Astyanax mexicanus: one gene and its partner. Each later gene encodes a partner of the first gene's protein in a complex. Links are inferred from orthologs where the notes say so. Each region holds a gene or a part of one and is shown on either strand. Other genes may lie near its edges.

Region 1 (16,543 bases):
TTGGTGATATTTTTGCATACGATATGACATGGCACACCTCTAATAGAGTCAAAGATTCAACAAGTCATGATAATAATAATACACTCCATAGATCCAGGGTTAAAATAAAATAAATGATACTGGACAGATATAACCTCATATATAACAGTCTCTAGAATTATTTTTAAAAAGTTGCAAGAATAAAATAATGTGACGTTATTTTGGGTATTTTTGCAAAAACAATATAAAAAAAATATTGTCAATATTATTGCGTACAATACAATGTGGCAAACGAATTTGAATAAATTAAATAATTTCTGCCAGACAAAACATAAAATACATTGGGTTCATACTATCTGCAATAAAAATAAAAGCACTGTAAATCTAAGAAACAATTTTTATTTTAATTTTATTTTCCATACTGTTTGTGTTCAGCTATATAATCTCTATCTTTCACAACTGTTTCAATAAAAATCTATTTATAAATGCTAAAAAGACAAAAGGTTTTCATGGGGTGTCCTAACATCTATGTGAAATGAAAAACCCACACAATTATTTCTGTGTTCAGATAAAAGGGTTAAATGGGATTTTTGGCAATGTTTTGCCATTATTTAGCCAGAGATCATGTTAAATAACAATTTCTAAAGCTTGTCCATTCTCAATATACTTTGTGGGCAGAGCCTGGATCAACATCAAGCTAATCAAACAACAAATAATCAATCAAACCAAACAACTCCAACTGCTTTCTCAGAAACAGTTCAGCCTTTCCAGTAACAAAGGGAGGCCGCTTCTGGCGTGGTCCTGAACAGCGCCTGCTGCCTAGAACTACTGTGTTCCACAAGTCCCCAAAGAACTAGAAGCTCATTTTCAAAACTAACATATGAGCAACAGATGTCTACCATAACTGCAGGGCAAGGGGTGACAGCAAAGCGGAGGGAAAAGAGAGAAACCAGGAGGAAAAAAATTAAAACGGGATTAGTGAAAAAGACAGTGACAGAAAGGCCGAGAAGCCACCAACCCGCCCCCGCCCTCCGGCCAGTGCCACTGGCTGTAATGTTAATGTTGGCATCTTGTTAGACTGCCCCCGATTCCTGGGCTTTGTGAGGTCTTTTTTTCCCCTTCTCCCAACATGGTGGTGATAGCAGAGGGGCTCCGGAAATTCGGAGACTGCTGAGCCAAAACAGATCACTTCAAAGCGCCTTATTTAACGCTCACTAAATTTTTCATCACAGTCGCTTAATATCCTGGGGAAGGGGAGCTTTTGAAGTCGCAGCGAGACCGGCATGTTCTTCTGACAACTTTTTCTTTTTTTTCCCCTCCCTCTCCTCCTTTTTTACCTCCTCCCTCAGCTTCTGCATCCCTGCCTCTTTCAACAGGAGGCCGGTGATATTTGGGGCACACAGAGCGAGCCCAGCGGGCAGGGCAGGGTCGGCCTGGGAGTCTGTTCACATACAGCCCTGCAGCATAACCTCACTACCAGCTCAGGGTACGGTCATTAGGGGTGTGCCATATCATATTGTACACAATGATATTGTTAAAAATTATAAAACAATATATATATATATATATATATATATATATATATATATATATTATTAAAATCAATAAGCAGTCTATTTTGTATGATGATTTGCTGTAAAGTTTAAAAGGTATAATTTTTGACTGTTGCCATTTATTGTATATTGATATAGTACTCATGTTACATGACGTTACTTTTATGATACATTTATTTTGCTGTAAAAAATCTTGTTAGTTTTTTATCAGTTATTCATAAAAAAAAAAAAAAAAATCTGATGTTTTCTGTTGAATGTTTTTGTTGAAGTAGTATATTCTGGAAAGAATATATATATATATATATATATATATATATATATATATATATATATATATATATATATATATATATATATATATTCAGCATTTTAGTCAAACCAGCGAGAATACCGTTATTATAAACATACCCTCAAATATCAAGATATTATTTTAGGTCCACATCACCCACCCCTAACAGTCCCCATTACAGTGGAGTAAAGGCAAAAACATTTAACGTAAAGCCCACTTATATAAACAATCTTAATCTATATAGACAAAACTGTCATAGGATACCTATTAATTTATTGCTTCTACCAAAATCAAGGGTAACTGGAAAAAAAATAAAGTAGTTGTAGTAAATGTAACTGTCCCCATTGTCCATGGAGGACTTTTAATTATACTGTATCCCCAAAGGACTGGATGAAGCACTATTATTCCAGAGAACACAGTTCTACTGCTCTACAGCTCAATACTGGTGGATTAATCCATCTCTAACCCACAGCTGGCATTAGGAATGATGTAAATAGGTTAATGTATAACTGCTACAGAGAGTCCTATTCTACTGGCAGTACTTCTCTACACAGACAAGACAAGCTGTGTGTATACTAACTCTATTTGTAAGTAAATGTGGATGGTGATAATGAATAAGGAACAGATTATTATTAACAATGTAAACCAAAAGATAAACCTAGACTCCCAGTGGCTCAATTCAAGTTTTAAAGAATTTACTCAATATGTGAAAACTGAAATGGAGATCAAGACAACAGACAGAGTACAACACTGTTATCTTGCAGCCAGGGCTTAAACACTACATAAAATAAAGCAGTGAATTAATGAATGAATCATCTTAGAATCTAAGAACTGACAAAATACTGCAAAAAAAAAATCAATATTTCTAGTAATATTAAAAAAAAAAAAAAAAAAACTTCCATAAGCAACACTGCAAAAGAACCATTTGTGGTTGCTAAAACAGTTGCGAGTGTAAAGCATCTTTTTATTATCTTCTATAAAACACTCTTCTAGCAAAAAATACACACTAAAATACACACATTTGAGTTTTCACGTTTTACACTCCTAATTACACCTCTAATTATCATTCAGAGACTTTTACACCACGTTCACACACTCAAACATCAGATGTAGAACGTGCTATGCTGTTTGCCTGAGGTGGAAATTTTCACAGCATTAAAGAAAGAGGAAATGTACGGGAGGCGTGAGGGAGAGGAATGAGGGGGAGAGAGACAGATAGAGATAGAGAGAGAGACAGATAGACAGATAGAGAGAGAGACAGATAGAGTAAGGAATAGAGCACAGAGGCTGAGCCGGTGAGCTGGGTGGGGATGCCAGCCCCCGGAGGCGAGCTTCATTCAGGCTTGAATGGGACTGGTGCTGGGTTTGATTGACAGCGCGAAGCGGAGCGCAGGTCCAAACCTGCTATGGCTCAGACGGCCGGGGCCGCCTGCCACCGAGGAGTGAGGACCGCCCATCCCGGCGAGGTGAGTCAGAACCTGTTAGCATGAGTGCTGTCCCCAGCCTGACACCCCGGCACAGCCGCCCAGAGCCTGCCTCTGACTCCCTCCAACCCTGCCACCAGTCCCCTTCCTCTCATCCACATCAAATCCTTTCAGACACAGATTTCAATTATTCACCTCATCCAAATAATGCCTTGTGACATGAATTATCCAGCACTGTAATAATCCACTTAACTGGGAAAGAGCAGCTCATCAAAAAGAGAAAAGGAGGGGGAAAAAAGGCGACTTGTCGACCGGTTAGGAGGCCGAGGAGCCTTAATAATCCACATTTTTTCCGCTTTTGAGGTGAGCGCCTTGAGCTCGGTTTGAGATCATATATGCCGTGAAATCACATTAAACAAAAAGGAACAATTCAGAAACTAATCATTCGGATGTTACTAAACAAGCTGCAGGCAGTGTGTGTGTCGGTGAGAGAGGGAACACAAAGGGGATGGGTTCGATTCTGGGTTTTAAATGACATATAAACCAGTAAACACTCTTAACTACAGGATAATAACTTCTGGGACAAAAAAAAAACGGCTGAAATAATTAGAATATGGCTGATTACGTCTGCTCATCAAAAAGACAAATAAATAACCTCATCATCGTCTCTATTATGTCTAGCTCTAAATTTATGCAAAACATTATGCTCAACCCAAATAGATTTATGCAAAATATTACCCTGATGCTGTCTCTGAGGTGAGATGTTAAAGTACATGTTGTTAAAACACATAACAAGAGAGCTTTCTGGACACCTTTTATATGGCAAACAGCTAATACAATAATATTAACATTATTTGGAGTTATAGGATAATAAGTTACAGCCTTTTGCATTAATGATTAATAACACAGCTAGGGATGAGTGGACCCTATTCAAAACTAGCTTTCAAACATTACTTATTAGCAGATTTAAACTTAATTCCTTTACTGTGACCAAAACTGCTTCTACCAGGTATTAGAACACGTTTTGTATCCGTTTCTGGATCTATTTTGATTACCTTGATTCTGTTTACACTTGTCACTAAAATGCATCCTTTATGCATACTTTCCTGCATAAAATCAAACAAAACATCCATAACTTCTGTTTTCCCAACTATAAAATTTGTTGATCTTGACCATTGTCGTGCTCAGAGAAAGTGAAAAGTTTAGTAATAGTGGAGTTTTAGACAAAAAGGTCTCAAAGCCCTTTAAAATGTGGCAGATAACAAACATACAAACGCCTGACTGACAGAATTTAATATTAAAAAGGCCATTCTGTTCACACTTGCATTAAAATGTGTACGAAATCCATTTTTTGACCATTTTTTTATCGGATAACTCAAACCATGTTTGGAAGAGGCCATAAATAGACATGGGGTGTTTAGTCCTACATTCTGATGCAAACAAGTGAATCTTAATGTTATCAGATCATCATTAGAGAAATCACTGATATATATTATTTATCAGGATGATATCAGGATAAATGCAAACCTCGCAAAAAAGGTGTATATATAAAAAACTGAATTGTATTTAAAACAAATACAAATCCCATCATTCAAACCCATTTCAGGCGGTGTTCTGACACACATTTGAGCCACATATTAAAACAGTGTAAATGTATCTGAGTCTACAAGACACAATCAACAACCAAAACTTCTCCCAGTACAACTGTAACACCAGTAATAACTAACGCACAATTTTTATGAATGTACATCTTCCATCCTGCACAGAAATCAGATTTTGGGCTGACTAACTGGAGGCACATTGGGTCAAAAAGTGTAAAAATGCATGTGTTTAAAACATTAAGAAGTGACCAGGTGTAAACAACAGTGTGTAAGCGCACAAGATGGTCTATCATAATCTGAGTAAGCATGTTGAGAGCACATGTTTAGACTCTGTGTTTTTAGAGGAGTTTAGTGAGGAAGGATAGAGGTGATATTCAGAGCACGAGTATCGTCTTACCAGTGCTTCTCGTGGTGGAGCATCGTCTCGGACTGGAGATCCACTCTGCAGAGAAAAGAGAAGAGAAGGCTTGTGTTACAGCTCCACCTAGAGGTGTTTCTTACATAATACAGTGAGTTTAGCTGGACTTATTAACTAAACTGAATTCTGACTTCATTTCCTATTAGAAATATTGTTAACTGTTAGCAAACAATCTGTTCATTATACATGATCATTCTTTACATTTCTAACTACAAAGCGGGAAAATTACTTATTAATTACTCATTAATTGACCCTTTTATTACAATACAAAACAGAACAGATTAAGTGGGGAGTAATGCTATATTTATTTCTACACTGAACTCTATTTACGAGGCACGTCACAATAATTACATTATTAAGTTAAAGTACAACAAATGAGCATAACCTCAATAATGCTGACCTCAAATGTTGCCAATTCTGTTTCTATACACAAGCAGAACCCATAAATATCAATAAAGCTGATATGCTGACTTGGTTTAAAAACAACAGCAGGTGCATTTTATTAATGTTTTATTTATGTAGGATATTTTTAAGAGACGGATTGATCAGCATTTTATGGGCCAATCACCGATCGGCAGGGTCCAATCAACCATTCCAGGCAAACTTAGTAATTTTACCTAATTACAGCCATCTAAAACAAACAGCTGCCTTAAATAAACAAACATTTAAAAAAAAACAGCATACAGTGCTGTGAAAAAGTAAATGCCCACTTACAGATTTCTTTTGTTCACACAGAGTCAGGTTGGTTTGGATTTTTTTTCTTAACAAATTAAATCATAATTTAAAGTATTCTTTTTGGTTGTCCGATATTAAAATGTGTTTAAAAGAAATATCTTTATCCAGAGCTCATCTTTCTGCTTTTATATTAACTATTGATACTGTATGCTGAAGATAATGGTATTTTAGAAAAGATTTTAACGGTTTTATAGGATTTACAGGAAAAAAATACCCTATCAACTACATTAAAGCCAGTGATTGTGACACTAAAAAACAAAATTAAGATCATTATTTACAAAAAACTAAAAATTAATGCAAATGCTTTATTTATAGACACTTAATATTAGTGGGAATTTGTAAAATAAAAGTAAAGTGTATTAAGGAAATGTATTAATTTTAACATTAATCACAGTCGCACCACATGACATTTTGTAAGACCAAGGCCAACTCTTCTAAATAAAAATACACTAAAATCACTCTAAAATCTAACATTTTAATATGAGTTTGTGTTCACAACATTTTAAATTTTTGAACAATTGCAACACATACTTTTATTTTTTGTATTTTAAAATTGGCATGTGTGTGTGTGTGTGTGTGTGTGTGTTTTTAAGCATTTATTCTAATAATAACAATATTCTACTGTGACATCATCCAAGCTGTATATATAATATGCCACACATCCTCTCCCACATCCTCTCCTTTACATTACAAACACTGGGAAACCCCAGCTAAGAGTCTGACACATATAAGCTAAGCTAGCGTTACCTACAATACTGCAGAATTTATTAATTTATTTTTGCACACCTGAAAAGTTGTGATTTTTTAAATATTATTTTAGATGGCTGCTGCAGTACTGGTGGTTAAAATGTGGTGGTTAATTGTTTGTGTGGTTAGTAGTGTTTGTTAGCTCTGGTACACACTGAATGGGCTGAACGATGCACTGTCCCGAGCAGTATTATCCAGTTAGTGAGGTTAAAAGTATTTTTTCTCTTTCCTCCATGAGGAACAATAATTTGACACATTGTATATACAAATAAAAACAGCAGAAACTGCTAAACAGAAACAGCTAATCTCCACACTGACTGCTAACGAGCTGTTAGTGGCAGCAGCTGTGCTCCAGCACCAGAGTTCCATCTAGTGGTTGGACGAAGGTACTGCAGCTTTCTAAGACCAAGCTTCACCAACTGTAAGCCGCACAGTTCTGCTGCAAATCTTAACTCACCTATATGATCTGATAAGTTCTCAGGATTGGCCGATAAAATAAATACCCTGATATCTAATATATTTAAAAAAACACACACACACACATTATTTATAGGTATACGTTTGAGCAAAATGAAGAGTGTTGTTTCATTCTACAAACTACAGACATTTCCCCCAAATCAAATTTAAAATAAAAATATTGTCATTTAGAGCATTTTGCAGAAAATGAGAAATGGCAGAAATAACAACAACAAAAAAAATACATTTTGTTTTATCAATGCTTTATCAAGCACTTTGCATCTAAAGATTTGTTAAGAGACTGTTCTGATTGGATAAACAGTAAACTTTCCTTTTACTCAGATATTGTGCATTTGGAGTGTTAATACCAATACATTTGTCCTATAATTTTATTATATATTTATTTATATATATGGTCTTGCTTACAGTATAACGATAGCTCAGTGTATCATTTATTAGTTAATGAAAATAGAAAATTGTGTGTTAAAATTTGTTTTTTATTTTTTCCAAATTTGGTGTTGTAAATAAGAAATGTTTTTTTTTTTTTTTTTTTACAATTTTTGTAAATTTTTGCATCTTGTAAGAGTAGGTTGTGCAATACCATTAAACCGGGAAGAAAAAAGAATAAATATTTTTGGTGAAAAGAAAAAAGAAAAACCTTTTTTACTAAACCAAATGTGGGAAAAAAATGATTAAGTTTTACACCAATTTTTAGGTTTAGCCTCAAAAACAGTAAATTAAACAGATGAACACTGACCCAGCAAGCTAAGAAAAGCTCAGAAAAGCTTAGAAATCTAAAAACCTTTTACAGACACCATAATTACTGACACCAGTCACAAAATGTAATGTGCAAAAACACACATTTTCTAACGTCTAGTTATTGTGTAAACAGAGTCCTCCCTATTAGTGTCTTTACTAATAGTTTTAAATTAGATTTAAGCTCAGTCAATTCTTCCCACCATTATAAAAGATGAGACTAAAAGGTGGGTGACGACTGTGGAACAACAGCGGCCTGTTCAAAACTGAACACAGGAAGTAGAGACTTAGCACGCTAATGTTATTAGCTCAACAATAAAAATGGAGCAAAATTCAGTCATTGTTTCCATTGTCAGTGATCCATGCCTGTCCAAAGGGCTTAATCAGGTAATAAAATTCCAGCCACTGCCAAAAGAAAAGTACAGCAGACATCTAAATAACATCTCAGATAGTAAATCTCAGGTGAACGGATTACACTCTCTTTAATGCCCTCTCGTCATTTTACTCCGTCTCTGTGCCCATAACACAGGTCTGTACTTTACTGTCCTCTAGTTTTATACTGAATTCAGACTGAACCCATTATTATAGTTCATTCCTATTACATTCTGGATCCCTGACAGACAATATCAGAATATGGACAGGGGCCAAGGTATTGTTGGATAGGTTGCATGATTATTAAGGGTAAAGGTGAGCAGTATGGGGTAATTTTAGCTTACACATGATCAGTGTACTGCAACTGCATGCTTCATTACAATAAGCATGTCAATGTGATGCAAAATTCTCAATTTTATTTTTTTTCAATAAAAATGAGGAATCCAGTTTTACTGCTGCTGTTTACATTTTACAGTTTTTACCTTAATCACATACAGACTGTGAAGTGTAAGTAGAAGCAAAGTTATAATAGTGTGAGGTGCTGGAGTCTCGTGGACAGGGGTTTAAACAGAAGAAACCTTCAAGTGTCAAAAAATAAATAAATAAATCACAGTGAAAGCTTTAAATACCAAACAAACACTAGGTCAAAATAAGTCCTGCCAAAGTTTACAAATATGATTGATCTAGAAACCTTAAAACATTTTTTTTTCATGCAAATGAATCCTCTTACAGAGCCTGGTGATGTATCAGTGGTTTTATTTAGTGATGTAAACACAGAATCACTACTGAGTTTAAAGAGTAGATTTTGTATTTATTTATGCTAAAATCTGGATTAAATCTCATAACTAACTACTCCTTTCTTTTCTCCTACACTCACACACACAGCTACTTTGTTGTTTTACGACACCTTGTCATTACATTCAGTCTTATACAGATAAAAGGGTGCGATTAATCGTAGAATGTTGATTCCATTAATACGATTACATTTTAATAAGTCATTAAAACAAATTAAGCCTTATTGCAAAAATACTTTCAAATGTAAAGCTAAAATCACTTCCTCACATTTGCCCCGTTTTCTATTTTGCGGATCTGAAAAAATAAATTGTGATTAAAAATCATGATCTGGTTTAAACTGTGAGTTCCTTATATCTGTTAGACCACCGACTGTGACACAATGTCAGACTCAATTGTCAAAATGACAGATAAAGTTTTTTTTTTTTTTTTTTTTACATAACACTGAAGATACTTGGTCCCGTTAAACTGGATGTAGGAATAAGAGAAAATTAAAATGCATATCCTGAATGCATATTCTTTTTTCTCAGAAGGCCAATCCTGATATCACAGCCTGATTCCTCCATCAGAACAAGGTGAAAAGGACAACAGAGCTTCTACACTTTCACTCACTTGTTGGATTTCAGTCGGGAAGCTGACAATCATTCGGCACTGTAACAAAACACCAGCAGAGCCTGGAAGCTGATATTGAGCTCAAGAGCAAACAGGGGCTCAACTCCAGTACAAACCAGCAATAACAGCAATAACAGAATCTACAGTGCAGAGGTCATATATTCAGCACAAATATCAGAATTCAGGAAACACTTAATGAAAGCGCTATCAGATGTCTATGCCAACAATGAGTCAGAATTAGGTTACATAAAAAGGCTGAAGTGAACTGAAGTGAATCACATCAAATAAAAATGACCGTTTGACAGCTAAAGTCCTTTAGGGAGATTTAGCAGAATTTCAGTGGTGACGCACTGTTCTACTGTGCAGCATATATATTTTATTGAAACACAGGTGCTCTAAACCACCCAAGGCATGTCCTCCAATTTGACGTACTAAAGTTACTGCTTCATTACTCCACATGATCTCGCTCCTAAAATGAATTAGGTAAACCTTCAGTGAATACTAGTTGTCAAATTCACCAATAAACCCATAATTCCTGGTATTTGCTTGTTTAGGATGAGTATTTTATCTACATATTGTGAGATGCCCGGCGATTCCCACTCCTAGTTCTTAGACCCCTACCCTTACATATTTTTAGTTGGATCAGGTGTGCTGGAAGCAGGGAACGGACTAAATGTGCAGGACAGGGGGTTCCATGACCAGGATTGAGAAACCCTGCATTAAGCAAACACACACTTATCACACTGAGCCTCTCACAGAGTTTCCTAACACTGATAACAGCGTCCAAAGACAAACCCTTCAAACATGATCAGAGAGAAACACTGATCACTCAGGCTGAGATTCTGTACTGAGAACTAAAGGATTTAAAAAAATATTAATAAATAGCCTGTATAATAATTAAATCGCTAATATTCTTCTTTTGCTGCGGAAACACAAATGTGGGTTTTTTTTCCCAGTTAAATATTTAATTAAAATCATAATGTTTAATGCTTAGCACATGCATAAAGGTTGCATGTATTATAAAAGTTACATATTTTTGTATTGTGTATTATCACCATCTTTTATAAAACATTTAAAATATTGTTTAGCTTCTATTTAGTACTTCTGGATAAGACATTTCAGTGGCATTAACATATGTGATTATTAAGCATCAAAAGAATATCTCAAGACAAGTCTGAATTCAGGTGGTGATTTTTGGCCAGGCAATGTATATACATAGATAGCTAGTCGGACAGAAAGACAAACAGATAGATAGCTATATATTTAAATAGAAATTTACAGAAGAATAGCTAGAAAGACTCACATAGACAGATAAATAGCTATATATATATATATATATATATATATATATATATATATATATATATATATATATATATATATATATATATATATATAGAGAGAGAGAGAGAGAGAGAGAGAGAGAGAGCGAGAGAGAGACATGTATGGACAGAAATAGATGACTATCTTTACTGTCCGTGAAAGGTTTCAACCAGATTGTTGAGCATTGCTGTGAGAATTTGATTTCCTTTAGGCCAAGAGTGTTATGAAGACAAGATGTTGAGTAGATTACCACACCGCATCATCCCCAACACCCTAATGCATCCTAATTCAATCCTACTTTAAAAGTCCTATTCTTTTGATAATACAGGAACTAAAAAAACTGTGCATGTTTTTACACATTAATATCAGACATTTTAACAGATGTTTGATAGACAGACAATGGGATATAAAGACAGACAAACACAAAAAAACAATATACAAGAGAGGAACACAGACAAACAAAAATAGACAAGTACTGACAGATAGATATACAGATAAGACAGAAAGTGATAAATAGACAATATACAGATGTATACAATAAACAAACATAGAAAAACAGAAACAGAGCCAACCAAAACAGAACAGTCATGTAAAAATAGATAGGTAGATAGATAGATAGGTAGATTAAAAATGATGAATTTCTTTGATTTTACTCAATTGAAAACCTCTGGAATATAATCAAGAGGAAGATGGATGATTACAAGCCATCAAACCAAGCTGAACTGCTTGAATTTTTGCACCAGGAGTAAAGGCATAAAGTTATCCAAAAGCAGTGTGTAACACTGGTGGAGGTGAACGTACCAAGATGCATAAAAAACTGTGATTAACCAAATATTGATTTCTGAACTCTTAAAACTTTATGAATAAAGTTGTTTTCTTTGCATTATTCGAGGTCTGAAAGCTTTGCATCTTTTTTTGTTATTTTAATAAATTACAAAAAATGCTCTAAGTGATAATATTTTTATTTGGAATTTGGGAGAAACGTTGTCCGTAGTTCATAGAATGAAACGACAATGTTCATTTTACTCAAACAAATACCTATAAATAGCAAAATCAGAGAAACTGATTCTGGACCTGTATATAGACAGATAAATACAGACAAATACAGATATAAAAGAGAGAGAAAGATAAACAGATACAGATGTATACAACAAACAAAAACAGGCAAGACAGAAACAGACAGCCAACCAAAACAGAATATTGGTGTACACACGAGTATGTAGATGTAAGAGATTAAACACAGAGCTCTTTCTCTCTGTAGTGTTTAAGGCTGTGCGGTATGTGTGGTGTGTCAGTGCAGTGCTCAGGCTGAGTGTAAACATTAACACGCTGCTCTCTCTGTGGACACTGACCCGGGCTCGGCTCTGCACACATATCCGTTAGCTAGTTAGCCTGCTAGCCTTGTAGTTCCAGAGCTGAAGATTGCTGCTGGCTTTATCTACACACATATAAACTCTATAACTAAATAAACACGATATAGTTAAAGTGTTAATAAAGCCCTGGCTGGTTTATAAACGGTCTGCGGGAGGGCTGGAGCTGCCTGTGGCCTGCAGCTGTCAGAAACAGCCCGCTAGCAGCAACAGCAGCAGCAGCTGGGCTAAAACTTTTCCTCCACCAACTAACTAACCACAGATACACTAACACACACAGACCCAGCACCGCACAGCGGCCCGGCCTCACCGCCGCCAGCCCGTTTTAGCTCTTTACCTTACTGTGCTGCTCGGACTGATCCGAGGGCGCCATCCTCTCCAGCCTGCAGCTCCTGCTAGCTAACCCAGCTAACAAGTTACAGCTGAAGCGACTGAGTTTCTGCTTCGACTCACCGAGTCTGGGACAGGCTGAGTAATCGAGCCAGAGCTGCTGAGTGACTGAGGCCTAGTCACCAATCACATGGGGCTTCCACAGGTCCACTGATAAATTATAACCTACATTTCTAAACAATCAAAGACAGACAGAAACAGACATACAAAAAGTTAGTTAGAAAGACAGACAGACACACACAGACACACACACACACACACACACACACACACACACATACACACACATACACACACACATATATATAGATATATATAGATATATATATAGATAGATAGATAGATAGATTAAAATAGACTGACAGACATATAGATAGATAGATAGATAGATAGATAGATAGATAGATAGATAGATAGATAGATAGATAGATAGATAGATAAGAGTCAGACAGTCACACAGAAAGAAATGTACATACAAGTAACGTTAGATATTTACCTGATCTTTCTTGATTTCCAATCGCATGACTGGAACCAAAAATAAAAATATGAAAAAGAATTAAAATAAGCAGGACATTTCGATTCTATTTCCTATATTTTATTCTATATTCCTTCTCCTCTAAACTTCACAAATGCAATTACTGAAAAAAGATATTTACAGCTACTTTGTGTCCTTTTAGTTATTAACCAAAATGCTAGTCTTTTTCCTTTTCAAAATGTCAAAGATACTACACGTGATACACAGCACAGCACCTAATAAATATATAAACATAATAAATATATAATATTTACAGATTATTCATGTATCGTTTGTGCTAATCATAAATATAAAGACCTAAATTGATAATACATTTCTAATATTTGTCTGCTGTTGTATAGTTCTGTCCCATGGTCTCTGTCTCTAAGAAATGGGGCAAGAATCCCCGTTAGATTCATTACAGGAAACCTGTCGGTGTAACAGGACACAACATTACACACTATTTTATATTTTTACAGAATAAGCAGTTTTTTTCCACACAAATAATGTTAACAACACACAAATTATGTCCACTTTAAATATAGCTTATATATATATATATATATATATATATATATATATATATATATATATATATATATATATATTAGAATTACTAATTAGTAGTAGTATTGAGTACATGTATTGAGTTTGAGTAGGCACAGACACTGGTGCTTAAAAAACTTGACTTGACCAGAAAGAAAAAAAAACTAATTTGATGTAAAGTTATTTTTTAGGTAACCTCATATCATAGCTAGATAATATTTGTATATTGGACCTGGTTGTGGTACAGTGTTTAAATGCTAACAATGTGAACTCCAGTAAATATTAAATTGGCTTAAACTACAAGGATATTCAAAGTATAACAGTAAAGTACTCCTCACCCGTGACTCCAACACTGCAACTTTCCACCGTGCAGCACTTCTTCTTGTTTTAATAAACAGAAATGGAGGCGTCGTATAATTCTGAATAACCGCATTGCTAAATTAACTGGCGTTAGCTCCACAGGTACTCACTGCAGTAAAATGACCGGTGTTCTGTCGAGTCGTGCTTCCTTGTCAAACCGTGCTTCCCTAATGTATATTAACTGTAAAACTACAAAAAAAGAGAACAATATTCGAGCATGTTCGTAGTAGACGTATATATAATATATTGGGAAAGCATAAATCACTGTATAATGGTACAAAATACAGCCAGATATCATGATATTATCATTTTTAAATAATAATTATTGTATTTATTGTTATTCATTTCCATTTACACTTCTGTGCAATGACAGTGAGTCGAACTGTTGTTTAATGCACAAAAAAAACAGATAAAAAAAAAACGAGAAATACTTAAAAATTGCAGGTCAGCGCGCATGCGCACTGCCTTTAAGAAGCACGTATCGATGGGTAGCTTAATTTGACAGAACACCTGTTGTAGCTTTTTAAGTAGAGCCGGATGTTTTGTCGAGTTCTGCTACCCATCGACGAGTGCTTCTTATCGACACTGCGCATGCGCCGACTCAAAATTATTATTATTTTTATTTTTATGTTAATTCTGTATTTTTCGTGTTATTTGAACCTGATCTCATTCTCATTATTTGATTGAGTTTTACAAACAAGGTAATAGCGACTAATAACAATAAATAAAATAAAAAATAATATATATAAAATATATATGTGCTTTTTTTTCAAAGCGCGGCGTATATAAGGTTCGATTTATTTGTTTTTATTTAAACTGTTTCTGAGCTTTAGAGCTTCTGAGCAGCAGCAGCAGCAGCAGCAGCTTTTCACTTCCGAGAGACACTTTTACAACTGCATACCCACCACCTGATTTACACTTTAGACTGTTTAATTATCTTTATTCTGATTTAATTATTCTGTAATTGTTGTATTTTCTTTGTTGTTGTTGTTGTTGTTGTGTTTTTTGTTGTTGTTTTTATCTTCAGGTTACCGGATCAGGTGAGGGACCAACGCCCCGCGGTCGGAAATGGCCTGGTGGCTGAGGATTTCTACCCTCCTTCCACGTGAGGTCAGTAGACATTTTTCGCATTTTAGACCAAACCCATATTCATAAACTGAACTAAATAAAACTGAATAAAATTCAGAAATAAAGCTGGAGATGGATCAGCTCGAATTAAAGTGAGTATCTGTTCTGCAGGCGGAGTCTGGTGCTCCAGAGGCTTCACCTCCTCACACTCCGCCTCTTTCTGTAAGTATCTATTAAACCTTTATCAGACCCAGTAATATATTTATATATATATATATATATATATATATATATATATATATATATATATATATATATATATATATATATATAAAAATGTCAGATTTACTGATATGGACTAATTTCGATCCATCAAACTAAAACAGATTCAGTTTGTGATGTTTTATAAAGCATGATAGCACATAATTAGCACTTTTTATTTAATAATAAATAGTCTTAATAGTTCATTGCTTTGACATAAATTCTCTTTACACTGATTTACAATGGAATCAGCCATAGTAAAGCCAATATTGCCATAGGTACACACAGTGACAGTTGTCTATTATATATTGTTACATTTATATGAAACCCATACTATAAAAACTTGTATACTGTGATATTTTTGGTGTATGTTTTCGATGATGGTTGGAATTAATTTAACATATGTTTCAATTGCAGGTGGACTCCGATCTGGACTTCAGCTCCGATGACTCCAGCCTTCTGTCCACCAGTCTTCAGTCGCTGGGTGAAGTGCCAGAGCCCTGTGTGGAGCTGAGGGCCTGTATTATGCAGGTGAGGAAAAAGTGCACAATAAAAGATTAAATTGCAGTGAAGCATCACTGTCATACAGCTGCATCCAAAACCACATATCACCTAAAATACTGAAACAGTACAGCAACAAAAGTAGTGCATTAATTAGAGACGGAGATCTGTGCAGCTTTGACACACTTATTAAACCTGGCTATTAGCTGAGAAGCAAGAAAACCACCATGCAGTATAGTATATGTTTATTCAGGGTAAATCAGAACAGTGCACATGGTCTTACAGTATATTTTAGTACAGTATTTAATAAGTACATTTTGTATTGCTTGACTTTTTTCTTAAACAGTGCATAGAAGACCACCTCCCCAGCACCATGGAGCCTCCCTCTCCTCCACATCCCAGGCCAGTTCAGGGAGTCATTGTGTCTGTTGCAGAGGCAGTGCCCTCTCACAGGCTGGACTCCTCTGAACCAGTGC
Region 2 (16,108 bases), on another chromosome or scaffold:
TTCACACCACTGTATATATATACATATATAATGTTTATTTCTAATATTTTGCATATATATATTAAGTCAGTGATTATTGTTGATTATTCAGAGACACGCTGTTGTTCTCTCTCTGTTGTAGGTGAATTTCCTGCACTCTCTTGACAGCCTGTATCACCCCTCACACCTGCTGGCCTCCCAGCAGCAGTTCCTCCACCCGTCCCATCACACAGGAGAGCTGAGCGGACACACACTGCCCAATCCACACCGCAACTCTGGTACGTACTCACAGACACATGCATGCACTGCAGTTCATATTCGTTCTGGCAATAGGTCTAAAATATCTAATAGTGTTTTTTGTGATTTAGCAGTTGGTTGAGCTTGACAGACCCTGTCTAACTTGGAAAAACATTATATAAAACATGAATAAACAACAATATAAATCAATGTCAGAATTTGCTGTTTTCGATCCTCGCTGCTCAAAGGGTTCAGATGATGTCCCTTCATTTTTGTGATATCATTCAAAGCAACAGCACATTATTTATAGACTCTTCAACTAAGCGGGACAGGGTGGTTTAGTGAGAGAAACTGAGGGACCCACACACAAATTTTTATAGTATTTTAAATAAATATTTAAATAAATATTTCTCTCACTTTCGTTCTTCTGTTAAAAAGTTAAAAGTAAATAACTATAAAGTCCGTAAATTAGTTGAATAACATATTATTGAATAGTAAACATGTATATAATGGCATGATAATATTAGTAGTGACAGTACATTAATTAGAATTATGCCATATAGCAGTGTTTAGGATGCATTTCCTGTCTAAAAATTTTTATTTCATGTTTTAAAAAAATTATTGTGATAAAAGTAGTATTATATATACATTTCTTTGGGTATTTACTGTGAAATTTTAAGGGTACATTGCAAAATAAATAAATAAATAAATATGTAAATTAAGACGTATATGCTTATATTAAGCAAAATTAAATCTGCCAATAGGGTAAATATTTTTTTTTTCATTGAGATATTTTAAATTAAGTCCAACGTTTTGTAAATTAAGCATTAAATCAAGCACAGTCATTCATTATTTGGCTTTAATTAGGACACAATAGTCAGAAATAATATGACCAATGACCTTTTGTGCCTATTTTGACTTCAGATTTCTTAAAATAAGGTAAAAAAAATACAAGGAAGACTGATTTAAAAGCACCATTCCTTAAATAAGTAAAAATATTCATACAGTAATACAAAGCTTAATAAGACAAAATGTCTTACCAGAGAAAAAAATAAGATTTATTGCCTTACAATTAGATCATTTCACTTACTTACTAAGATTGTTTTGTAGTGTATTATTTGTATAAATGTTACATTATTGTTACATTATTTTTATGTCACATTATTAATATTTTATCTCTTTGTAAGTTATTGTTGTACTAAACAGAACTTTACAGACTTTTATATTTCTTCTGAATGTTTATACTGTATAAAATTGTGTCAGTTTTCTTGTTGCAGTAAAATATTCTTAAATAGAATAATATAATATTATTTTTATTTTAGTGTTTTCTCATATCGCCAAGAATATTGTTACTGAAAAAAAGAAATATCATGAAATCTCAATAATTATCGTATCACAATATCAGTTCGTGTGCAGTGCATCGCAGTGACTCATCAATATCATCTGCTTAAGAGTCTACTTTAACAGTCTGGTCTGCAGTCCCCCCCCCCCAACATGTCTGTTTAATTCTCCCCACGCTTCCGTCCTGCAGTAGTCCCGGGGGCCGCAACCGTCATCATCATGGTGTGTGTTGGGTTCCTGGTCGTGATGGTGATCCTCGGCGTGTTCCGCATCCGCTCCATCCATCGCCGTGGGGAGGGAGCCAGGGGCGGCGGCAAAGAGGGAAGCAACCAATGGGACGACTCAGCCCTCACCATCATCGTCAACCCCATGGAGGTAACTGTGGAGCAGAGCAGCCTGGGGAACCTGATCTGTTTACACTACTATAGACATGAACTGCGGATCATATTCTTCAGATTCTCACTGGTGTTTACAAACAAATACCCCAGTATTTCCATTCCAGGATGAACCATAATTTTAGGTATCTCTTTAGTGCAGAACAAAATATTCCCAAATGAGAGCAGCAGTGATTTGACAGTGAATAGCGCAACGTGAGAGCGCAAATAAACTTAAATTAGCTTAAAATGTTTGTCTGATTTCAGCTTACTGAGAATGCAGTGATACTTGAGATTTAAGAGTTAAGCACACCTGATCATTTTTTTATCACCTGATAATTAAATTAATTCAGATTTCTTAAGCATCTTCTCTAGTTCAGCTTCCGGCTAATCCATAACGCCTTTGCAACTTAGGCTAGTTGTTCGCAGTTGGTTATTTTTAGGAGAATGTCAACTTTCATCATCCAATTTAGACATGGATGTCGAAATTTCCTTGTTGTACGTATATAAAGTGCATTACCAGGCTTAATCCCTGTTAGGGAAACTGAGGTTTGGGTTGCCATCTTACACCCTGCGCAAGGCACGTTACGAAGCTCTTTGCTATCTTAAATGCCATCAACAGTCTATTTTCACACCTTGCGCTCGTACCGCTAAGGTAGCGTCTATGAGTTTATGAGAATATCTAAACAGATGGGCGTGATTGTCTGGATATGAGGTTTTCTGGTTACCAGGTAAATATTTGGCATATTTCTATGTTGGTGGAAGTAAACACATTTGCGCTACTGACTAATTTAAACCCTGACAACAGTCAGTAGTCACCTGCCCAATCTTATCTTATCTACGCAGAGTACGCATGCTTGAGGCACACGCTCAGTGCGTGTAAATCCCAGCTCATTACACAGCTTTTACATCAACACTAAGCAGAATACAAAATAAAATAACATTGCTGTTCCCATAAATTATCTTCTGGCGCACCTTCACAGCGGGAAAGCGCTGCACTGTTAAGATATCAACAATCAAAAGTCAGAATGCACCTGGTTCTTAAAGGAAATGACATATGAAATGCTAATTGGTTTATTTCCTGTTACAATAAGCTGGGTAGGTAGTGTATCTTTATAGTGTTTAATACCCATGCCCACTAAGCTGGTTATGTAGTGTATCTTTATAGTATTTCAGTATATTTCTAGCACTCAGTTATTGATCACAGGGTTGTGTGTTTAATTCTCATGCCCACTTAACTGGACAAGTAGTGTACATTAGTAATAGATTAGTGATAATGATACAGGTAGTGTACATTACTGTGTATTAGAGTAAACAATTAATTTGTCTTAAAGTTTATGTCTAGCGCTCACAGGTTATTGATCACAGGGTTTTGGGTTCAAATCCCATACCCAATATGCTGGTCAGGTAGTGTATCTTTATAGTGTTTAATACCCATGTCCACTAAGCTGGTTATGCAGTGGATCTTTATAGTATTTCAGTATATTTCTAGTACTCAGTTATTGATCACAGGGTTGTGGGTTCATATCCCATACCCAATATGCTGGTCAGGTAGTGTATCTTTATAGTGTTTAATACCCATGCCCACTAAGCTGGTTATATAGTGTATCTTTATAGTATTTCAGTATATTTTTAGCACTCAGTTATTGATCACAGGGTTGTGGGTTCAAATCCCATACCCAATATGCTGGTCAGGTAGTGTATCTTTATAGTGTTTAATACCCATGTCCACTAAGCTGGTTATGCAGTGGATCTTTATAGTATTTCAGTATATTTCTAGTACTCAGTTATTGATCACAGGGTTGTGGGTTCATATCCCATACCCAATATGCTGGTCAGGTAGTGTATCTTTATAATGTTTAATACCCATGCCCACTAAGCTGGTTATATAGTGTATCTTTATAGTATTTCAGTATATTTTTAGCACTCAGTTATTGATCACAGGGTTGTGGGTTCAAATCCCATACCCAATATGCTGGTCAGGTAGTGTATCTTTATAGTGTTTAATACCCATGTCCACTAAGCTGGTTATGCAGTGGATCTTTATAGTATTTCAGTATATTTCTAGTACTCAGTTATTGATCACAGGGTTGTGGGTTCATATCCCATACCCAATATGCTGGTCAGGTAGTGTATCTTTATAATGTTTAATACCCATGCCCACTAAGCTGGTTATATAGTGTATCTTTATAGTATTTCAGTATATTTTTAGCACTCAGTTATTGATCACAGGGTTGTGGGTTCAAATCCCATACCCAATATGCTGGTCAGGTAGTGTATCTTTATAGTGTTTAATACCCATGCCCACTAAGCTGGTTATGTAGTGTATCTTTATAGTATTTTAGTATATTTTAGCACTCAGTTATTGATCACAGGGTTGTGGGTTCAATACCTACGCCCGATATGCTGGTCAGGTAGTGTATCTTTATAGTGTTTAATACCCATGTCCACTAAGCTGGTTATGTAGTGTACCTTTATAGTATTTCAGTATATTTCTAGCACTCAGTTATTGATCACAGGGTTTTGGGTACTATACCCACGCCCGATATGCTGGTCAGGTAGTGTATCTTTATAGTGTTTAATACCCATGTCCACTAAGCTGGTTATGTAGTGTATCTTTATAGTATTTCAGTATATTTTTAGCACTCAGTTATTAATGACAGGGTTGTGGGTTCAATACCTATGCCAACTAAACTGGTAAAGTAGTTTATCTTTATAGCATTTATTACCCATACCCACTGAATTTGTTATGTACTGTATCTTTATAGTATTTCAGTAAATTTTAGCACTCAGTTATTAATCACAGGGTTGTGGGTTCAATACCTATGCCCAATAAGCTGATCAGGTAGTGTATATTACTAATCTTTAGTGTATTACAGTAAATAATAGATTTATCTTAGTTTATTTCTAGCACTTAGCTATTGATCACAAGGTTGTGGGTTTGTTCACCAAGGTTCCCTTGGTCTGCTAAGCTGTTGATAATCTAGGTCTGCAGTTAGCATCATGCTAGTTGGTGGGCTATAGGGTTTAGTCACTTGTTTGCTACATTAGCAGTATAAATAAATTAAATTAAATTAAATAAATTAAATAATTAAAACTACTGTTTTAATGTGTATTTCTTTCTCTTTCAGTCCTATGAGAACCGCATGGGCATGGCGGCAGATACAGAGGGCGAGGGCGACGACGAAGACGATGTGGTGGAGTCTCCTGATGACACGGGTGACGACCAGCGAATCATCATCAAGAAAGAAGGAAGAGACTCCGCCCCTCGTCGCTACTGAGTCGGTCATGCAAAAATGAAATGGAAGGTCCTTCTCACATGTTAAACATGAAAACCATGATACACACACTGTACACACTCTCTTACACACACACACATTCACACACAGACACAAAGCATAAATGTATTTGATATCAGCCTTTGTGAATGCATTGTCTCTGGAATGTATGCTCTCACACAAACACACACTCACTTACTCACTCACACACATACACACACACGAAGACACACACACAAAGACACACACACAGTGCACAATGCCCAGGCAACGTTTAGTCCACATTTAACCCAACACTCGACAATGTATGTATGTATGGCACAATGATGTAATTACTGTATGTATATCACTCGTCTATTCCCGTCGGTAAATGTGGTCATCGCACTGTATCTGACAACACTGAACACACCGGGTATTACTGCAGACGAATGTACGCTAGCTGATTTACGTTACTATAGATATACTATTAGCAGGGCTGGCCTGAACAGCAACTCACAGGCTTCAGGTACTCACTGGTGTTTACAAACAACTACCCTAATATTTCCATATTGCCATATTCCCATTCTGTGATGAACCATAATTGTAGGTATGCTCATTACTGTAGTTCAGAATATTCCCAGAAGAGGGCAGCATGGATTTTGACAGTGGATATTGCAACGTGAAGGCGCGAATAAACTGAAATCAGCGTTTTTCTGCCTGATTCCAGCAGACTAAGAATACAGTAATACTCAGAATGAGTTGAACAAACCTGTTGTGTTTGTTTACAACAGGGGCTTATCACCTGATTATTGAAAATTGTTGGAACTGGTGATTTCTTAAGCATCTTTGGTAGTTTCACCAGCCTGCTATCTGTTTGAATGGGGAGAAACCAAAATACTTCAAAATGAAAGTCTATTTACCATTTGGATCCATAATTCACTGCTTGTTCTGGCTACTGCACTTGCGCAGATCTCCACATAGAAGGAACGCTGATCCTCCATGTGCAGTGTAAGCAGCAAGCTGATTGGCTCTCCAAATAGCGGGACTTTATCCTTGAATGGACGCTGATTCTGGACTTCCATATCTATTTCTTTAGCTTCGTGTTCTACCATAATGAAGTAAAACATTTTTTTTACTGCTGGTGAGGAAGAAGATTTTTTCCATGTGTTTATTTGAATGGAAAGCACCAACATTTTCAAACACCTCTACTAAATACTAAATACACAAATACAGTGGGATGGAACAAACACAAGGTTTCAGTCGATTTGGGCCAGCCCTAGAAATTAGCCAGTTTTGCAAGAATACAATTAAAAATTGAGGTTTACGTTCAAGTCACGAGTTCATCATGGTTCAGCATCACCAGTTTAGTTTTCTTCAGTCATTCCTCTAGACACACTTAACAAATGAATCTTCCAGACTGGATATAAGCTATGTGTAGATACTGTACCTCCACTTTCCCAGCAGTCACAGTCACATAATAATTATAATAATAATAATATTATTGATAATAATCATGGGACGGTTCTCAAAAACAACTTCACTCACCTACAGATATACACACCTACACATAAACACACACTTGCGTACTGCAACACTCCCCCTCCTCAGCTGCATCAGAATGTTTGCTCAACCCTGAGCAGTTTTGATTGTATTTAAATGTATGTAAATACAAATTACTACTATTATTATTATCATTATTTTCTTTCTGTTATTGCCATTGTTCTTAAACACACTTCTCGCTCTGCACTGTTTTCTATTCCCATGCTTACGGATTCTATAACATTGCTGTCTAGTGATAATGATAATAATAGTATTAGTAATAATTCTGATAATGATGATAATAATGGTAATGATTGGCTTGATGAGTGTCTATTTATTTGTGTGTTCAACAGTGTAATTTAAGAACTTGTTCATATCTGAATCACAGTGAAATGGAAAGGCACATTGTGGTTATAATGCAGTGCTCCTCTTTCACTCCTCCCGTCCCCTCCTCCTCCTTTTCCCTCCTTCTCTCCCTCCTCCTTTAATCCGTCCACTTCTTCTTTTTGTTTTCTGAATGTACAGCTCAAACTTCGCCCCCTCCTCCTCCTTTGCCGTGTCTCTCTCTCTCTCTTTCTCTCTGTCTGTGTCGGTGTACAGTGGAAACCTGTCAGTTAATAAAGGCCTGTTGTTTTTTCAATGTGATATTAAGAATGGATATAAAAAAAACCAAATCTGCATTAATATCTTAACATTATTACTATGGTTACTATTGGGACATTTATCTGTACTTACTATTGATACGATAACACAGATTATGGACTGATTGTTATTGATAAATGGTCTGAAGTAAGAGAAAAATAAATAAATCTGTTCCAAAAGTTCATAATAAAAACACTCGGATGACGACAGCATGTGGTCTGTGGTGAATAAGGGTTCTTGATTTTTTTTCTTCTATTATTTTCCCATTTTTCTCCCAATTTAGCTAGGGCAATTGTACCACCCATTCAGAGGTTATTTAGCTGATGCCACAAAACAAGGAGGGTGAAGACTAGCACATGCCTCCTCCGACATATGTGACATTAGACTTTGCCTCTTTTTTAAACTGTTGCTGATGCAGCATTGCTGAGTGAGCTCGGAGGAAAGCGCAGCGACTCGGTTCTGATACATCAGCTCATAGATGCCTTGTGCTGATCAACATCACCCTAAGAGTGATAAGGGGAAAGAGTGCCATCTACCCACCCAGAGAGAGCAAGGCCAATTGTGCCCTCTCAGGGCTTCAGCAGCTGATGGCAGGCTGCATGACTGGGATTCGAACCAGCGATCATAGTGGCAGCGATTTAGACCGCTGGACCATTCCGGTGCAGAGGGTGCTTGGTTTTATTGACCCTTTAAGGCAGCAGTCTTTAAGATTTTTTTCTTTTCAATTGAATGCAGTAGTGTACCTAAATGCTTCTGCTACAATTTTTGCAAAGCCACATATACCACCAGTCAAAAGTTTGGACACACCTTACATTCAGTGTTTTTTTTTTTTAATGTTCTGCATTGTAGACTAATACTACAGTAGTCATTCAAACTATGAACAAAACATATGGAATTATTTATTAACCAAAAAGTGTAAAACAGCCAAAATATGTTTTATATTTTAGATTCTTTAAAGTAGCACCTCTTGCTTGGATGACAGCTTTACACATCTTGGCTGGATTTTTAACAGCTGTGCTGAACTCATCAAGAGTTAATTACTTAAATTTCTTGCCCTTATTGTGTTTGAGAGCATCAGTTGACATTTAACTGGTACTGTATAATTATTCTAAAAACAAGAGTGCACTGGGCCATCAACAAGAAGATGGTGGGTTTGATACCTGGGTTTGGTGGGGTGCATTGTTGGGCCCCTGACCAAGGCCCTTAACCTTCATTGCTTCCCAGGCACCACAGCGATGAATCCAGGCACCTGTTCTCACTGTGTCTCTGTGTGAGTGAATTATGGGAATTGGAGTGGGGTCTAATAGTGGGTACAGATGTATGATGGAACATTCCATTCCTGAAGTTGTGTGGTTGTTCATATACCGATCCTCCATCCCCAGTGTGTACTGGGAACACAGTGTGTTGCTACTGCAATGGTAAGGTGGTAAAGATTTTGACTGGTGGAAAAGAAATACACTTAAACAATTTAAATATGTTAAATACACTTAAAATAAGTTATTTTTAACATCAAATGATCAGATGAAAGAAAAAAAAAACATTCACAGACTATCATGTGATGGACTTAAGATATTCAGTATATTTTACTTAAAGCCTGTTATGAGTAAAAAGAACTTTAAAATAGCATTTAAAACCAATTACAGTAATGGGCATTCAGGTCAAAATATATATTTCTTTAGATTTATAGTCACATACTGCTGCTCACAGGTTTTTCACAAAGGAAGGTCCAAAGTCTATGGATATGACGGCATTTAAGGGCCACTCTTAAAATAAATGAAAACAGTTGACATTGAGAAGAAAGATGCAATATTATGAGGACCAACACAAAGGCTCTTGAGCAAGACCCTTAAACCTCACTGCTTCTCAGGCACCACAGCGATGCATCCAGGCATGTGTTCTCACTGTATCACTGTGTGAGAGTACTTACTAGTATGTATGTATCAGTGATGGTTTGGAGAGTCATGCCATCTGCTGGTGTTGATGCACTGTGTTATATCAAGTCTAAAGTCAGTGCAGGGTTTCCCTGGAAAATCTTACTGCACTAAATGGTTGCCTCTGCTGACAACTTTTATGGAGATGCAGATTTCATTGTCCAGCAGGACTTGGGCACACATCCCACTCTGCCAAAAGTACCAACTGGTCTTAATAAAAATATTAATAATAATATTCTTATTTTCTGACACACTGATTTTTGGGTTTTCATTGTCTGTAAGCCATAATCATCAACAATAAAAGAAATAAACGCTAAAATATATATAAATCACCCTGTGAGTTCCACATTTTTAACTGAATTACTGAAATAAAGTAACTTTTTTAAGTTATATATATATTTTTTAGATATGTTATTAAGTCAATTGTTTTTATTTTTTTAAGAGTGGCCCTAATAAGCTGTACACATACATAAATAAACAAGTTTGGTGAGAAAGAACTTGACTGGACTGCACAGAGTCCTTACCATAACCTTATAGAAAACACCTTTGGGATGAATTAGAGTGGAGTCAGGACTTAAAATCTGACAAGGAGGTTTATGTGTGTAAAGGCAGACGAGTGAACAATTTTGACAACACTGTGTATTATACATTATACAATATAATATCCTGAAAAGCTGAAACTTTCCCAACTTGATGATTCCCCTTTAAACTTTACCTCACTGTGATTATTTGGCTGGGGTTACTGTGTGAGAGAAAGAGAGAGAGACAGTGGACTTTGAATCCGTCCTTGAACACATGACGTCTGTAACTAGCTACTTTTTAAAGCACCTTTCCTAAAGAATAAACAGCTCGAATTTAACAGCTGAGAAGCTTTAAAGTGTTTGGAGTGCAGGGGTTAAGCAGTAAGTAAGAGTTTTAAAGCAGTAACTCGAGTTTTAAAGCGAAAATTTGCTTTGCTGCTTTGCTGTCTGTTCTCTGCTGTCATTTTAGGAATCTAACGTAAGCTACGCACCGTGCGCCTGCCGCGTGTAGGCAAGCGGGAGCCTCGAGCTGCGTAACTCGCGTTGGTGAATACCACTGTGGTGTCTGTTGATTCATGCAGAGCCTTCAGTTAGTGGCGCCTCAGGTGAATAAATAAAGATTTACACGGCGAGCTGAGCAGCGCAGGACGTGCCCAGCGGCTCGCCTGAGAGCCAGCCGCTTCTTAATCGCCTCTGCTTTGTAAGTAGCCCATAGGTGACCCTGGGTGCGTCATATTTTTGGGCAGGTTGCTAAGCTAGCTAACCCAGCGACTGCTGTAATAACGACGGCGTTAGTGGCTGGAGCGGCCGGTGCTGAGCTGTGGGCTGAGCGGTGAGTTTATTAGCTAGGTTAGCTAGATTAACTCGTTTAGCATTGTAGCTACACGTATATAAGAATAAACAGTGCTATTTAAAGCTATTTAACTTGCAGTTGTTAAAGGTTAACATGATTATTAGACAGCTAAGCGAGCTAAACAATGCGCTGCTGTCCTAATAGCTACGTGCCCTCAGTCTTGGAAGTGCCTCCTGTGGTTTATTAGGTTAGCTAGCCTTCACTGATGTGTAAGTTAACCAAGGTTAGCTTAGTTTAGCTTGCTAGCTAAATAGCCGTTACGTTACTAGCAATTAAAATGCTGGTGTATAATAAATATATTAATAAGAAGAGCATAGTTTTGAACAAAGTATTGTATTTGTTCGCATTGTTACCAGAGCTGAGTGTGGCATTATTTGTGTGTGATTGGTGAGAATTGTTCCGTTCCACCTTAAATGGTGCAGATAGATCCAGCAAAAGGATGGAGCTGCTGCACCATTTAAGGTGGAACGGAACAAGTCTCATAACAAACCTAAAACAGACAAATACATGTTTAGTAGGATGTTTACATCGGTGGTGAACCCAATAGTGTCTTTTTTTAACATCTTCTTTAAAAATATACTAAAATATCTTATTATTATTATTATTATTGTTGTTAGATTCCAAAGTGGGAATGCAGTTCCTACACAGACTGCGTGTGTGATTGTGGCTCAGCTCTATTGCTGTGGTTTAAAGCTGTGATATGATGGTTGCTAGGTGGTTGCTATGGCATTGTTGTTGGTTACCAAGGTTTTTAAGTGGTTGCTAATATGTTGCCGTGGATTTAATCAGTGATGGTTCATAAAGTGTGGCTGAGTAGTTTGTAGTTTGTTGCTATGGTATTTGTGTTGGTTGCTATGGTATGGCTATATGTGGGATGGCATGTTGAGCACTTTATTCATTCCTCTCTGGAAAATCTGTATGATGATTTTTACGAAAAACGTACATTGGATAGATTTGTGACTTCTGTAAACGTTAGGTTTATGTTTGGGGTTTAGTTTTTGTTCAGATGCTTTTTGTGCAAATAGTTTTGCATTTTTTCAAAAGCTATGTGCAAGCACAAAATTCCTGATTATGATGAATGATCCATCCATCCATCCAAGCAAGTTTATAGATGAATTTGTCATTTATTGAAGACAGTAATATAATTAGTATTAGTGATACAGGCTCTGATTAGAGCTGGGCAATATGATGATATTTTATACATTCATACATTTTCTTATCACTGATTACACATCACTGTACTAAGCAGTATTTGAATAGCACTTTTTAAAAATCTGAAACTTCTGATTCCTTTTGTCTGCATGTCAGAACATTGCAATACATACTGTTTATCATAAAAATAATTTAAATATTGTAATATGATATTTTTTTCTTTACCATATTACCTAGCTCTGTCACTGTGTGATGTACATCACAGAAGGTGCTTTTTATACTGGTAATATCGATATTTCAGTTATATCGTATGGACTGAAATTAAGAAACATATCATGACATAAGTTTTGGCTATATCGTCCTGACCTAGCTGTGATATTAAAATGTACTTTTTATTGCAGAGAGCTTAATTTGACATTAAATTGTCTTAAAATATAAAAAAATATATATTTTTACAATATTGCCCAGCCCTAAATTACACTTACTGCCCAGATAAAGAGCTTTTTCATTCTGTGTGTGTGCAAACATAGCCTATAAAAATGTTGAATAAATTATAGCTAGTTTAATATGTTCACATGACCTCGCTTTCCATGGATATTAAATGTACCACAGGTATCTTTCAGGGGCAACATCTTGGAGACCTTCATATTGAGCACCCACAACTTTTATAACGTGCCCAGCGGCTAATCGTTTTAGTCCTAATCAGCTTAGGCACCATATGTTGATGCCACTGGACAGATTAGGCCAGAGGGTCAGACAGTGATAACGAGAGGAAGGGTAGGGGTGAAGTTGAAGCTGATTCTAGAGATGATGATGATGATGATAAAGTTTTTTTTATTTATCAGCCTTGTTGATAACAGACAGGTAGATCCAGAAGCTCCAGTTTGGACTATAGTGTAATAATGTTTTTTAACTTTTAACACTCTGTTTTCCAGAACCTCCCGGGTGCTTGTCGGAGCCATCCTGACCCTGGGTTACCATGGCGATGCGGGAGCTAGTGGAGGCGGAATGTGGGGGAGCCAATCCCCTCATGAAGCTAACAAGTCACATGACTCAAGAGGGGGGAGCTTGGAGACACAGGTCAACGCCCACTGTGAGTTTATTGGTGTTCGGTTGTTTTGCTACTATTTGCAGGGTTGGCTGGCCGTCATATTCGTATCGATGCCCTGAAATTTTTTGATATTATTTTAGGGCTGTATTGGCCATTAGTGTATTTTTTTTTGCTGTTTCTAACTGATAACTGATTCTAATTTCACACTAAATATCTACTAGAGACTAGATTTATTTTACTTAATTTCTGGTATATGTAGTGTATTGTTAGTACCATGACAAAAATATTCTGCAAAATCATAATATTATTTAAGGGCCTTGTTGGAGTCAAGTATTAGCATACCTGGAGGCTTGGTAGTTTAGGGGTAAGGACTAAAGCTTATTTTACCAAAGAGAAAACCACTTAAACTTTTTGAGTTTCCTCTGCACAAGAAAGATGCGTGTATGTGAGCCATGTCGTGTCAAAAATAAATTTTTAGAGGCTCTATAATCAAAAATTGTGTATTTACACAAACCTGAAACGGGTTACAGTTATTTTCAAGACTTTAGAAATTCACTAGTAGTCTACAGTAAGGCTAACAAGCTACAATTAGAGACAATTTTGGATAGTGGCTGATCTGTTACTGACTGATGTTGTGAGAGAAAGCATTCTGGATTTCCAAATATTAAAATCTCTCAAAGAGCTTCCTGAATTGTTTTGTGAGTAGTCATTTTCCACCAGTATGTGCTGTTCAGAAGCAAGAGAAGCAGTAATGCAGTGCCATATTAGTCACAGTTCTGTTCAATTTTTGGCATCTAATGTGTGACATTAAATGTTGAACATCTGTCTTTTCTGTGTTTTTCCTCTCAGATTCCCCCCACACCAATCGAGATTGCCACAGAGGAGGAGGTAATTTTAGTTTCAGATTATTTTGGTCATGCCTGTTCTGTTAAGCAGTTTTCACTTTAGATCTGAAGTTAGAATGTTTCAAAAAGTACAGTGGCTTGCAAAAAAATGCATGCCCTTGAAGCTTTTCACTTTTTGTCACTTTTTAACCACAAACTTTAATGTACTTTATTGAGATTTTAATGATGGATTCAGCCCCCTTTACTCTAAAACCCTTAAATAAACAGCATAATATAGACCAAGAAACTCACCAGACAGGTCAGAGATACAGTTGTGGAGAAGTTTAAAGCAGGGTTAGGTTATAAAAACAGATCCCAAGCTTTGAGCATCACTGGACAGCACTGGTCAGAGAAGCAGCCAAGAGGTCCTTGGGCCCACAGCGAAAGTGAGAGAATCTGTTCCACAGAACAACTCTTTGTCGTGCACTTAATAGATTTGGCCTTTATTGAAGAGTGGCAAGAAAAAATACATTTTTGAAAGAAAGACAAAGTTTTTTGGGGGGCAGTTTGTCCCAAGCCATGTAGAAGACACAGCAAACGTGAATGAAGGTGCTTTGGCCAGATAAAATGCAGACCGCTATGTGTGGTGGAAAAGTAAAGCGGTTCATCACCCTGAACGCACCATGCCCACTGTGAAACATGGTGGTGGCAGCATCATGCTCTGGGGCTGCTTTTCTCCAGAATACATGTCAATACTGGAACAAAAACCTGTTGAAGGCCTTCCAGCAAGACAATGACCCTAAACGTACAGCCAGAGCTGCAGTGAAATGGTTTTATCAAAGGCACATATTCATGTTTTTAACTAATTGTGCTTATATATCACCTTGATTTCAGTATCGCAGTATAGAGAATTCCTTTCTGTTTAGTTCTTGGACCAGTCCAGTTTGTCATCCAACTGCATATGTGTCAGTCGCCAGGTTCTTGCCAATATATCATGTTTTTCAGGTGGACAGAATTAACAAGTAAAAAATTCTGTTATGGGAAATATGAAATAAGAAGTTTGTTTGACAGCTTGACGTTTCTGCGTCTCACTGACCACACCTTTAATTGCAGCTGGTGAGCGAATTTCTCCAGGCCCCCCCTCGGCCTCCTAACAGCTTTGACATGGGCCAGCTTCTGGAGGAGATGCAGCAAATCGACCAGCAGAGCTACAGACAGGCCCCACAGAGAGGTAGCACACACACACACTCACACACATTACACATGTGCTAACCCGGAGACCCCCAGGGGTCTGTGATTTACAGCAACAGATGCAGCAGATTTAAAGGAAATGCTGTTTCTGTTCCTGAAGGTCGGGAAAGTTTCTGTCACTGCTGGGAGTGTAGAAGCTGCCAGTACGTGAGTCATCGGTCAGTGAGAACTCCGAGGAGGGGAAGGAAAATATTTATAAAAAGGACTGACCCGGGATAAAATTCTTACCCTGTGTATGGTGCTGTAATAAACAGAATACAGAGTAATATCTATACCCTACGTATGGATAAGGTTTTACTGGAATTATCAGATTATTAACGTAATTTGATTTACGTAGATTCTCTTCCTTTGCGGGAATATGAAATTAAGTGACACCTCATTATTAATCCATACGGTTTAGTTTGATGTTGGCCCACTCCTTGCAGCTATAACAGCTTCAACTCAACTGGGGAGGTTTAGGAGTGTGTTTATGAGAATTTTGACCATTCTTTCAGAGGCGCATTTGTGAGGTCTAACTGTTTCTGCCAAACAAGGGAGCATGATATTGTGATAATGGAAGTGATTGGAACACCTAAATTTAGTGATTTGGATACATTAGTAAATACTTCAGGCAAGCTAGTGTATTGTGCGATAACTTCATAATGTAGTTATATTGACAGGCCTGAGCACAGTTCATCATGTTATGACTTTAAAGACTAAATTACCATATTTTTTGCACTATAAGACGCATAACTCCTCATTGTGCCTTATAATCCAGTGCACCTTATGTATGAATTTTACCAGTCAGGTTGTAAGGAGCAGTAAAGCCAATCAGCTGAAGTACAACATTATACAGGAGTTTCAGTGAAGTTTCTCCAGCACAGAGACTGGAGCAGTATTAGCATTAGCCACTAAGTGCTAGCTCTTTCACCATTCAGAGGTGAGTATATCGGATTGTAGTCTGCATGTTTAACGTTTTAAAGCAAGCTACGTGGGTCGAACCACTAGCTAATAGCACCTGGCTTACCTGAACACTCAGGTTTCCTCAGTGTACCACTGTCGGGCAGCACTAACCGCTGCACCCACATTGTAAGCCTACTGTAAATCTATCTATCTATCCAATATCTATCTATCATAGATACCGTAGAGAAAGTCTTACCTGAGGCTCTTCCTCACA

The links.
Region 2: the proteins of pex14 (region 1) and pex5 are in contact, whole or in part, in an NMR structure (PDB 4BXU), measured with the Homo sapiens proteins. The link is inferred for Astyanax mexicanus from reciprocal best matches to the Homo sapiens genes PEX14 and PEX5. Residues at the interface, in NP_004556.1 of Homo sapiens: Thr31, Phe35, Asn38, Arg40, Val41, Ser44, Pro45, Thr48, Arg49, Phe52, Lys55, Lys56; in NP_001124497.1 of Homo sapiens: Glu59, Leu62, Val63, Glu65, Phe66, Leu67, Gln70.

What each region holds. Positions count from the first base shown.
Region 1 is NC_064420.1:41,366,341-41,382,883, forward strand, and holds the start of pex14 (peroxisomal membrane protein PEX14), read right to left. Parts: upstream 7,222-16,543; 5' UTR 7,004-7,221; coding exon 6,902-7,003; intron 5,289-6,901; coding exon 5,244-5,288; intron 1-5,243. UniProt on the Homo sapiens protein: Component of the PEX13-PEX14 docking complex, a translocon channel that specifically mediates the import of peroxisomal cargo proteins bound to PEX5 receptor.
Region 2 is NC_064413.1:6,429,487-6,445,594, reverse strand, and holds the start of pex5 (peroxisomal biogenesis factor 5), read left to right. Parts: upstream 1-10,078; 5' UTR 10,079-10,202; intron 10,203-10,361; exon of another isoform or gene 10,362-10,653; intron 10,654-12,761; 5' UTR 12,762-12,805; coding exon 12,806-12,919; intron 12,920-13,726; coding exon 13,727-13,765; intron 13,766-14,814; coding exon 14,815-14,932; intron 14,933-16,108. Other genes in the region: clstn3 (calsyntenin-3), read left to right, coding at 122-257, 1,748-1,932, 5,063-5,212.